3 linked regions of the Cricetulus griseus genome follow. The protein of the gene in region 1 interacts with the protein of each later gene in a pairwise test. Links are inferred from orthologs where the notes say so. Each region holds a gene or a part of one and is shown in the gene's direction. Other genes may lie near its edges.

Region 1 (3,188 bases):
CTGGCTTGTTACTACCACCAATAGAAGTATAATAAGGACATTCTCTTAGTTCTGCCTGTTCGTTCATGATATACACAATATACATTGCTGTGTCTATTTATTCTAGTTTTTTTTGAAAAATATTCTCATTATAGAGTTGAAGCTAGGCTGGAAAATACCATATAATGTAGGATGGCCTTGAGTTTGCAAGTTTACCCTCCCCCACTCCAAAGTGCTAGGATTACAGGTGTTCTCCATCACACCCAGGTACATACCTCTTATAAAAGTTCAAGCCATGAAAGAGCTAGGGTTTCCCACTTCCACTGCTTACCTGCCTGAGAGAGCAAAGAGGCACAAGAGGAAAGAGAAAAGTCATTTGCCTACATCTCTGTCTTCCTATTTTCTCCACTGTTCCTTGTGAGCAGCATTTACTGCTGCTGTTCTGAGCTCCGGTAGAAGATGGTGTAATATGGAAGGAAAAGCCTGCAAGATAGAGGCTGGACCATTGCCACAGGGAAACCAAGGTCTCTTGCTTACAAGAGGCCTTTGAGGATCCCATGGAAGTGCATCCAGGAAAAGGGAACAGAATGTCTGGATTCTATGGTCTATGTGTGTCTTAATTCCATTAAGGAGCAACTCAAAGACCAATGACAGAGAGTTAGTCAGTTCAGGATGACAGACAGGGTATTCTCTGCAAGGGAGATGAAGGCAGGTCATTTGGTCTACAGAAAGCCTGGATAGAAAATTTGATTTTATTCTGAATATTATCAGAGGCCATTGGAAAGTGTAGGCCAGGACCCCAGCCCATAGAATGAAGCTTCTAAAGTTAGGGTGGGTCTTCTGATCTCAATCAAGGCAAGCTAGAAATGACCTCGTAGACATCCACAGATACCTAGAGCTTGTCACGCTGACATTCAACATTAACTATCATAGAGAGGAAAATGCATAGAAAATTCTCCAAAAGAAGCTGGAGAAAGAGTATGGTTGGGGTGCCCCCTTATAGGATGGAGAAAATGAAAATACACGAGCATGAGTCCCAGCCCGAGCCTCTGAAGCCCCTCGGCATCTCCAGATGCCTCCAAAAGATTTTTCCCTAATGGGTGGAAAGACTGGTTCACAAGTGGCTTTGGAGTTTCTCTTACCTCACCCTCCTAGGAATTTTAGGCATCCTGGAGTTCAGCTGTGACCTAACCTGCTTCTCTCTGCATCCCTTCTCCCCCAGCAACAAAGGCATGGAGCATCTCTACAACATGAAATGCAAGAACGTTGTACCCCTCTATGACCTGCTGCTGGAGATGCTGGATGCTCACCGCCTGCATGCTCCAGCCAGTCGCATGGGAGTCTCCCCAGAGGAGCCCAGCCAGAGCCAGCTGACCACCACCAGCTCCACTTCATCACATTCCTTACAAACATACTACATCCCCCCAGAAGCAGAGAGTTTCCCCAACACGATCTGAGAGCTCCCGGGCTCCCCCAAGGCTCTGAGAATCCCTGCAGCATCTTGCCCATGTCATGTATCACTTTAGCAGAATCCTGTCTCCTGCGTACACTCTGGCATGCATCCACCACCAGTGGCTTTCTAGTAGGAGTGGCCATTCATTTGCTTGCTCAGTTCTTAGTGGCGTGTCTTCTGTTGGGAACAGCCAAACGGGATTCCAGGGCTAATTCTTGGTAACAGCTCTCTTTCCCCCTTTGCTACATCACTAAGTCTGAGGGTTCCTTGACCAAATGGAGATAGCTGCATTGAAGCTACTAGTTGAGACCCAAGCCTAGAGAGTCAACATTTCACCTCTGATAAGCACTTTGTAATGGCTCCAAGAGCAAGCCTCAGCAAAGACTTGGAAGTGGCTCCTTTAATTGAAGCCTTGGAGAAAGCTCTCTCTTGGGTTCCTTAATCTACACGTACCCTCTTGTATTCCTATAGCAACATTTGATTTTATTAAAGGGAAATCTTGAGCCCCTATAGGAATACAGGATGCATGCAGGGAAGGAAGACTGTCCCCCTCCCCATTGTCAAGACCCTGTCAATTTAATATACTGCACCTTCAGGCTTCTAAAGCATCAACTGTTGAGCACTGTACACAGGTTATGGGCTCTAGATAATTCTTACTTCCCATGACTGGTGGGAACCAGTAAGTCAGTTTCAGTTAACACCCTAATGTGAGGGCTATAGGGTGTTGGGATTTTATTTGATTTTCATTTTATAATGGCCTTATGCCCCTGGGACATGCAGTAAAGGCAACTTGGTACCTGTTCTGGTGAGTCTAGCATTCATCAGTAGAGGGCACTCTCCCTGTCTCCCCTCCATGTGAATTGCCCTGAATTGTCCCCATGTAGAGTCACCAAGGGGCAGCTACATTTAACCTACACCCTGGCGATACCTTTTGTTTTACTTAGTTTTATTCTTGGGTGAAGAACAAATAATAAATGTACAATGATTGTGTCTCAGAAGGAGTCTGATCAAGAAAGAAAGTAGGGGAGAAATGTTTTGAAACACCTGCCACAGGTAGCAGTTTCCCAGGGCTGTCCTTTACAGTGATACACAGTGGGGCTGCCCTGGGATCCGATAGCTGGTTGTCTCTTTATTTTAGGTTTGGGCCTGATTGGAAGAGGCAACAGTAGATACCTGTGTTCCTGCAATTCTTCCAGGAGCTTGGGGGAGTCATGGGGGCAAGGTCTTGGAGCACCCATGACTCAAGCTGCTGAGGAGTTGCTCAGACTAGAGTGTCCTTGACTATTCAGAACTCATCCCAACAGCAGTTGGTGTGGCCCTGGGAAGAAAACCCCATGCCTCCCCACAGCTCATGTACCTAAACGTCATAAACCAGAGAGTAAGACCAGATTTGGGCCATGAGAGTCCTTTGACCAAGGGGATAAAAAGAAAGGCTTACCCTAGTCACAGCATCTACAGTCCCCAGGGTGTGGGCCTCTCTAGTGAAACTAAGGATTGTTTCCTTTTCTGAAACAAAACGCAAGTTTGGTTCCTTCCCTGACTTCATTACCTACAATCTGAACTCCATAGATATGAGATGTGTTAGCCAACAGCCCAGGGGAATGGCTAGGCTTCTCTTGGTCTGTTCTATTTGGAATGGTGGGTTCCATGAACTTCTGGTCTCCCAGTTAAGTGACTACCAAAGAACTGGGAAACTGGGCGTGCCAATTGTTCTTTCTTCTTTTTTTTTTTAATTTCTCATATTTGTGCATCAAAT
Region 2 (3,752 bases), about 140 Mb from region 1:
CCAAAAGAATAGGTTAATTTGAAATTTTCCTTGAGTTCCTGGTACTGGGGGGACTCCCATTCCATACTTTTTGAGTAAAGAGATGCATAAATAAGGAAATTGGGTCTCACAGAAGTAACTTGTCTAAAAATGCAGATAATAAGTTGAGCATTATTCAATAACCACCTTTTAAAACCACCATGATTACTCCAGAGATTTAATATTCCCGGGTAGGTCCCCTTCTGGGATTTAGGAGAGTGGCAATGGGGATGGGAGGCTGAATTGCTTTGGTTTGGTGCTGGAATGGATATCGAAAGATAATAAAAAGATGTGACATACGCTGATTTGGGCTTCTAGATTGGGCAAGTAGTGCAACCTTTCAGGAAAAATAAAGATCCCGGGCTCAGCACAAGTAGGAAAGAGGTGTGGCAAGGGATCTTCTTTCACAATTTCCTAAATAGCGATAATACGATGTAACAAGTAATCCCAGTGGAGAGGGGGAGTCTGGAGGAAAAATTACAAAAGAACTGAGGCAAGCAAGAATTTAAACCCAGTCCTTTTTTTTTTTTTTTTTTTTTTTTTTTTTTTAACTGCGAAACAATCTGTTGCTATGTAGCCCTGGATGGTATTAAATTCACAGCACTTCTGCCTCAGCCTCCCAAACCAAGGGATTACTGGAGTCAGCCACAATCCCTGGCTCGGCCGCTGCAACGTTTGAAGTCAGATGCTCAAACTATCGAAAACCCCTTTAAATAGGCAGGCTACTTCTTTTTTCCAGATTTTCTGGACGGTGACTGTCGCTTACACAACTGCCCATCAGTGTGGAAGAACGCGGTAGCACCAAGGCCAGGACGGGCCAGGAAGGCGCGAAGGCACCGGGCAGCCGTGCACACTCTGAAGCACGCGACCACAGGCACCATTCCCAGGGAGCTCGCGCCCCAAACGACTCCCAACTCCCGGCCCGGCGCGAAGCCTCGGTGCGCCAGCCGTGTCCTGCGGCCTCCAGCCCACAGGGGGCGCTGTGAGACGCCAGGCGCGGCCAGGGCGCGAGCGCGCGGTCCCTCCCCTGTGCGCATGCTCGCCTCGGTTGCGGGCTCTTTTTTTTTTTTTTTTTTTCCCCTCTCTCTCTTTTTTTTTTTTTTTTTTTTTTTTTTTTTCGGGGCCGCCCGGCGGCTGCGTACTGGCTGTGGGATGGGAAGTGAAGCCCCAGCGAGCGGCTGCGGCGGGGCTGTGCGGAGCAGCCAGCGGGAGGCGGCGGCGGCAGCGGCAGCGCGGCGGTGAGCAGCCCAGAGCGCGGGACCGGGCGGAGGGAGCACCTGCAGGCACAGGCGGCGGAGGCTCCACCATGGCGATTCGCAAGAAGAGCAACAAGAACCCGCCGCTGCTGAGCCATGAATTCGTGCTGCAGAATCACGCGGACATCGTCTCCTGCCTGGCGATGCTCTTCCTGCTGGGGCTCATGTTCGAGGTGAGCCCTCCTCCGTCCCGGTTCTCGGCTCCCCCCCGATCCCCGGCCGAGGCAGGCGACCCCAGAAGAGCCGGCCGGCGCTGCGCAGCCCCCCGCGGCCCTGCGGCCCCGGCTCGGCCCGCCGCCCCCTCCCGCGCCGCGCAGTTCCTGCTTCCCGCGAAGGGTTACGTGGCAGCCGGCGAGGGGCCGGCGGGGGCGGCGGGCGCGGTCGTGGCGCTGGCCCTGCGCGGTGGGCGGACCCGGGGCCAGGGCAGCAGGGCCGGGTGACTGGCGGGGACCCCCCGACCCACCCCGGCGGCTGCCGCCTGCGTGGAGGGCGGGGACGGGGTGTCCTCACCCGTGGCCCCTCGCCCTGCCGATGGCCAGTCACCCAACTTTGTGCCTTGGCTCTCCGTTCCCGGAGGATCGGGTCTGATCCCGACCGAGGCTCGCAACAGCTGTGTTGAGGAGTTGAGCGATTTCGTTTCTTGAAGCAGAGGCGATGAGCCTGTCAGGAATGTGTAAATTCTCTTCCCACAGATCTGAGTGTTTTGATGACTTATTTAACAGCTGTTGAATGTGGGTAATGAAGTTTGCAAGGTGAACCTGTAACATCCTACGGGTTTTTTCCACCCTCCTCAGTACATCCGCCCACTCCCTCCCCCCTTCTAATTTTTTTATCTGTAAGCCTCTGACTCTCATTAAATGTATTGATGATTACCATTTTGTCTCCTCTCCCCTTGGCGTGTAACCTAGTGAGGATATTTTATTACACATTTTTACTAGTTTTTTTTTCTGTTGTCGAGAATAGAGCTCTAAAGATTTGAGTGTAAGCAAGAAACTAATGGAATGAGACAGCCGGTGATGAAAGGTGAATACGGTTTTGGTTTTTTGTTAGCCCATGGTGGGGGGGGGTGCTATGTTATAGATAACTTTCTATGTTATGTTTACCTCTCTTCTAATAGACTTTTCTGAATCTCCATATGGTACTACATATTCCTGATAGTGTCACATGCAGTTGTAGCCACTACTAAGGAGGTGGCAGAGTGAAGGGAAAGTAGAACTAACTTTGTCAAAAAGCTTACTCAGCAACCCAAATCTGAGACTTAATTTATCTCCCCTTAACAAACGAAATAGAAATCACTTGCACAGGCCACATAGCTGTTGTTGAAGAGTCAATCAGATAATTTGGCTTGTAGAAGTCTGACAATATTATATGATTGGGCGGTGTTTAAAATGTAGGGTTTGGTGTGTGGCCCTGTGGTAAAATGGTGCAGGGTTAGACAAGAGCTCTGTGCTTGGCCTGAACCCCCGGTCTCTAGTGCATGCTTGTTTCTGATGTGTCAGAAGCGTGGTCCTGGGCTCAATTATCAGCAACACACACAATATTAAATATTTGTAATCTCTGAATTTATGACCTTTTATCCTGCTAAAATATTAAAATAGTTGGTAGATGCTTATCAAGAGTCCAACGCAGGAGAATTGTGAATTCAAATCCAGTGTGGACTACATAGTGAATTCCAATTCCCTCCCTGTCTTAAAAATAATAGTAAAGTAATAAAAATAAAATGCAATCATTTTATATGCACAGTATACACAACAGTTTTTTTATGACTGGCCATCTCCAACTTCTGATGGTAACAGTTCCTGACTTAAGAGGCATAATTTAGGGATATGATAATCCTTACAGCTTATTTGCAGTTCTTTAAGTAAAGTGAAATATAAACCGGAAATTTGGACACTTAGAAATACCACAACCTCTGTTTTTATGCATTTGTATTCTGCTTTGTATTCTTTTGCCACATTTTCTAAGGAAATTCACTATTATGTTAATAGTTTTTGTTTGTTTTTTGTTCTTTTTGAGACAAGGTTTCTGTGTAAAAGTCCTGGCTGTCCTGGAACTCACTCTGTAGACCAGGCTGGCCTTGACCTCAAAAAAAAAACACCTGCCTCTGCCTCCCAAGTGCTGGGATTAAAAGTCTTAACACTAAGTGGATTGTTTTCATGCTAAATAGAAGCTTTTAAAGTCACTCCCAAAAGGAGTGAATGTTAAAATGGTAAACAGAACAGAGCAGTTTGTACAAGTCATTCATTTTCTTTAACCATATGTTAAAGATGTAAGTTTTGAAGACACATTTATTTATGCACAGGAGAAATTGACTGGCTGGTTTTTTGCTGTTTGACTTAGAAGTACAGTGTGTATGCTGAAACATAGAGATGCTGTTGTTTTGCAGAATTGTTACATCTTTTGTGGAAGAATAGTGACGAAATATTAGGGGATTTATGGTGAAACCAAGAAGAACTAACATGGTGTGTTACTAGCCAG
Region 3 (3,018 bases), on another chromosome or scaffold:
GTGTGGCTCATCTGCTGTCCTCCTCAGTGAAAACACTGAATTCTGAGGGAATGTTCCAACAAATGGCCTGTTTTTGCTGCAGGCCAGGATACAGAAGGAGAGCTCAGTGACCTCAATGCCTAGGCCTCTCACAGGCTCAAGATGGTTACCTTAGCTTTTGAGTCCCTTTAAACATTTGGAAGAGGCAATGACTTCAGGAAGCGAGAAATGTTCACAACTTCTGACCAGGCCTCCTTTTATCTGGGCCTGGCTGGGTTCCTAGGCTGCACCCCTGTAGGGGAGGACACTCCAGTATCTGGCCTGGGTGGCACTGCCTGTTCTGTGCTGGACTGGGTTAAGGAGAGGGGTGTGTTGATGCACTAGCTGCAAGTCCTGAGAAGTAAACCCAGGTAGCCAAAGCCAGTTAGTTCCCTGAGAGCCCATGGAGACTCTGAATCCCAAAATGGCATCCTTGTGATGTTGCCATTCTCTGGTCCATGCTGGAGGCCCTGGCAGAGATAGAGCCACCTTCAAGGGTCTGACCCTGACTTCCTGCCACCCTCCCCAGTGGAGCCCTGTCCAGTGTGATTTGATGAGATAACCCAGTGCTATATAGTGGGAGACATGAGGTAGAGCCACTCAGTCAGGGTCACCATGGGCTTCTGGTGTGACCTGCTGTCTCCTCGGTGGTCAGCAGGGACTTTGGTCTTGCTGTGCCCTTTGAGTGCCTGTCACTCACAATTTTTTGTTTCCAGGGCAGCTGCTGCGCCAACCTGGCCTCCCTGGCCTTGTACAGTGAGACCTCCCTACCTCTTGCCTATAAGGCTTGTAGAATTTTATAGGCTGAGGTAGGCTAGCCCATGCCTCTCGGGTAGGCTGCTTCTGAAGAGTCTCTGTCCACAGGCGGGCTGCGTGCACTTCCCGCATACAGCCCCATGCGAGGTGCGTGTGCTCATGCTCCTGTACTCATCTAAGAAAAAGATCTTCATGGGCCTCATCCCCTACGACCAGAGTGGCTTTGTCAATGGCATCCGCCAGGTCATCACCAACCACAAGCAGGTCCAGCAGCAGAAGCTGGAGCAGCAGCGAGGGGTGAGTGGTAGTGGCAAGCCAGTGTCCTCTCATAGCTCCCCAGAGCCCAGTCAGCCATAAGCCGCCTGTCTGAGTCCAATGTGCCCCTTGTGTCCTAGCAGAGCAGCTTTAGTCCCTTCTCAGTTTCCACGGCAGTCCCTGATACAGGCCTTCCTTATTGGTCAGGCAGGGTGTGATGCACCTACTAGATGGTATGTCCCCAAAGAAAGGCACCTTCCTCCTACACACCAGGTCCTCCAACAGGTTCAGACAGCCTTCCCTCACCACTGATCTGTCCTCTCTGTCCCCGTGCAGATGGGGGCACAGCAGGCACTTCCAGGCCTGGGCCCCATTCTGGAGGACCAAGCGAGGCCCCCGCAGAACCTAGTGAGGACTTGGGTGGGGACTGGTGGGATTGGGGATGGAGGTTGGGTGGAGCTAGGGCAGTTCCCTACTGCTTGTCCTTGCTCACGCTGTCTGTTCTCCAGCTCCAGCTCCGTGCACCACAGCCCCAGCCTCAGGGTGCTGTGGGGGCCTCTGTGGCTACAGGGCAGCCCCAGCCACAAGGTACTACCCAGGCCCCCACAGGAGCACCCCAGGGTCCTCCAGGAACAGCCCCCGGCCCACCACCTTCTGGACCTATCCTTCGGCCCCAGAACCCTGGGGCCAACCCCCAGTTGCGGAGCCTCCTCCTTAACCCACCACCGGTGAGGCATGGGAATAGAGCAACAGGGAATTGCAGGTTCTTACCCAGTATCTCTGGGAGGAAGGGGTGGGCTGTACCAGCAGGGCCTTTCTGGAGCACAGACTGGGCCCTCTGAGCCATTCTTTGTCTTCCCCAGCCCCAGACTGGGGTACCCCCACCCCAGGCCTCCCTCCACCACCTGCAGCCTCCAGGGGCCCCTGCACTGCTGCCTCCACCACATCAGAGCCTGGGGCAGCCCCAGCTGGGGCCACAACTCCTCCACCCTCCACCTGCCCAGTCTTGGCCCACACAGCTTCCCCAGCGGGCTCCACTGCCAGGTAAGGGTGTTCTAGGGGAGGGTAGAGGTCTAGACTGGGAGTCCTTGCAGCCACTGGCAAGGACCCCATTACCAAAGGGCCTCCCCATAGCTCTAGGGGGCTTAGAGGGCCATTGGGAAGTTTAGCCATGGGAACAATGCCTCAGTGAGTGAGAGCTTTCCATAATCCTTATATGCTGCCCTGGGATGCTGGAAGATACCTTAGGGTCAGTGATGCTGTCGGGGGAAGGGCTCCCAAAGGGTCAAAGGAAAATGTCTGCATCTAATTGGGCTTAGAAGGATCCCTGGCTCTGGTGGTCCCTGGAGCTTCCTAGAAACCTGACTGCCTTGGGTTCCCAGAAGAGGGGATGAGAGGTCCAGGGTCCTCAATGGTCCCAGGGACCACTGGGAGATGCAGTCCCTTCCCACTGCCCCCCAGGTCAGATGCTGCTGAGCGGGGGTCCCCGGGGCCCGGTCCCCCAGCCGGGCCTGCAGCCCAGCGTCATGGAGGACGACATCCTCATGGACCTCATCTGAACCCAACACCCAATAAAGTTCCTTTTAACGATTCCCGGCTCCCGTCACTGACGCCCCTAGGGCTGTCTTTGCTCTCGCCTTGCAGACTCCCCAAGGCCCCGGCTGGGTGATGCTGGGCCACGGGGGGAGTTGGAGGCAGCATGGTGAGGCCTGGTTCTGGGAGACTCAGAGGCAGGTGGGCAGATAGTGTACAGCTCATGTGCACTCAAGGGGTTACAGAGCCCAGAATGCCTCTGACCCAGCCAGGGTTCCGAGGAGCCTGGAAGGAGAAGCAGCAGTTGGGAGCCAGGAGGTACTAAGGTGCAGATAGCCAAAGCCACAGTAAAGGGACAGGCAAGGTCAGGAGGTGGATGCTCCTGGAGCATGAGCATTACAGGGAGGAGCCAGACTGGAATGCTTGAGACTTGTCCTGGGGACGCAGGACCACAGA

What was found.
Region 2: the proteins of Esr1 (region 1) and Tram1 interact in a two-hybrid assay, tested with the Homo sapiens proteins (2 studies listed by BioGRID). The link is inferred for Cricetulus griseus from reciprocal best matches to the Homo sapiens genes ESR1 and TRAM1.
Region 3: the proteins of Esr1 (region 1) and Med25 interact in a two-hybrid assay, tested with the Homo sapiens proteins (2 studies listed by BioGRID). The link is inferred for Cricetulus griseus from reciprocal best matches to the Homo sapiens genes ESR1 and MED25.

What each region holds. Positions count from the first base shown.
Region 1 is NC_048595.1:282,651,488-282,654,675, forward strand, and holds part of Esr1 (estrogen receptor), read left to right. Parts: intron 1-1,201; coding exon 1,202-1,436; 3' UTR 1,437-3,188.
Region 2 is NC_048595.1:147,041,611-147,045,362, forward strand, and holds the start of Tram1 (translocating chain-associated membrane protein 1), read left to right. Parts: upstream 1-1,157; 5' UTR 1,158-1,324; coding exon 1,325-1,447; intron 1,448-3,752. UniProt on the Homo sapiens protein: Involved in the translocation of nascent protein chains into or through the endoplasmic reticulum (ER) membrane by facilitating the proper chain positioning at the SEC61 channel.
Region 3 is NC_048599.1:153,715,503-153,718,520, reverse strand, and holds part of Med25 (mediator of RNA polymerase II transcription subunit 25), read left to right. Parts: intron 1-882; coding exon 883-1,071; intron 1,072-1,365; coding exon 1,366-1,437; intron 1,438-1,538; coding exon 1,539-1,757; intron 1,758-1,892; coding exon 1,893-2,073; intron 2,074-2,490; coding exon of another isoform or gene 2,491-2,588; exon of another isoform or gene 2,589-2,620; intron 2,621-3,018. UniProt on the Homo sapiens protein: Component of the Mediator complex, a coactivator involved in the regulated transcription of nearly all RNA polymerase II-dependent genes.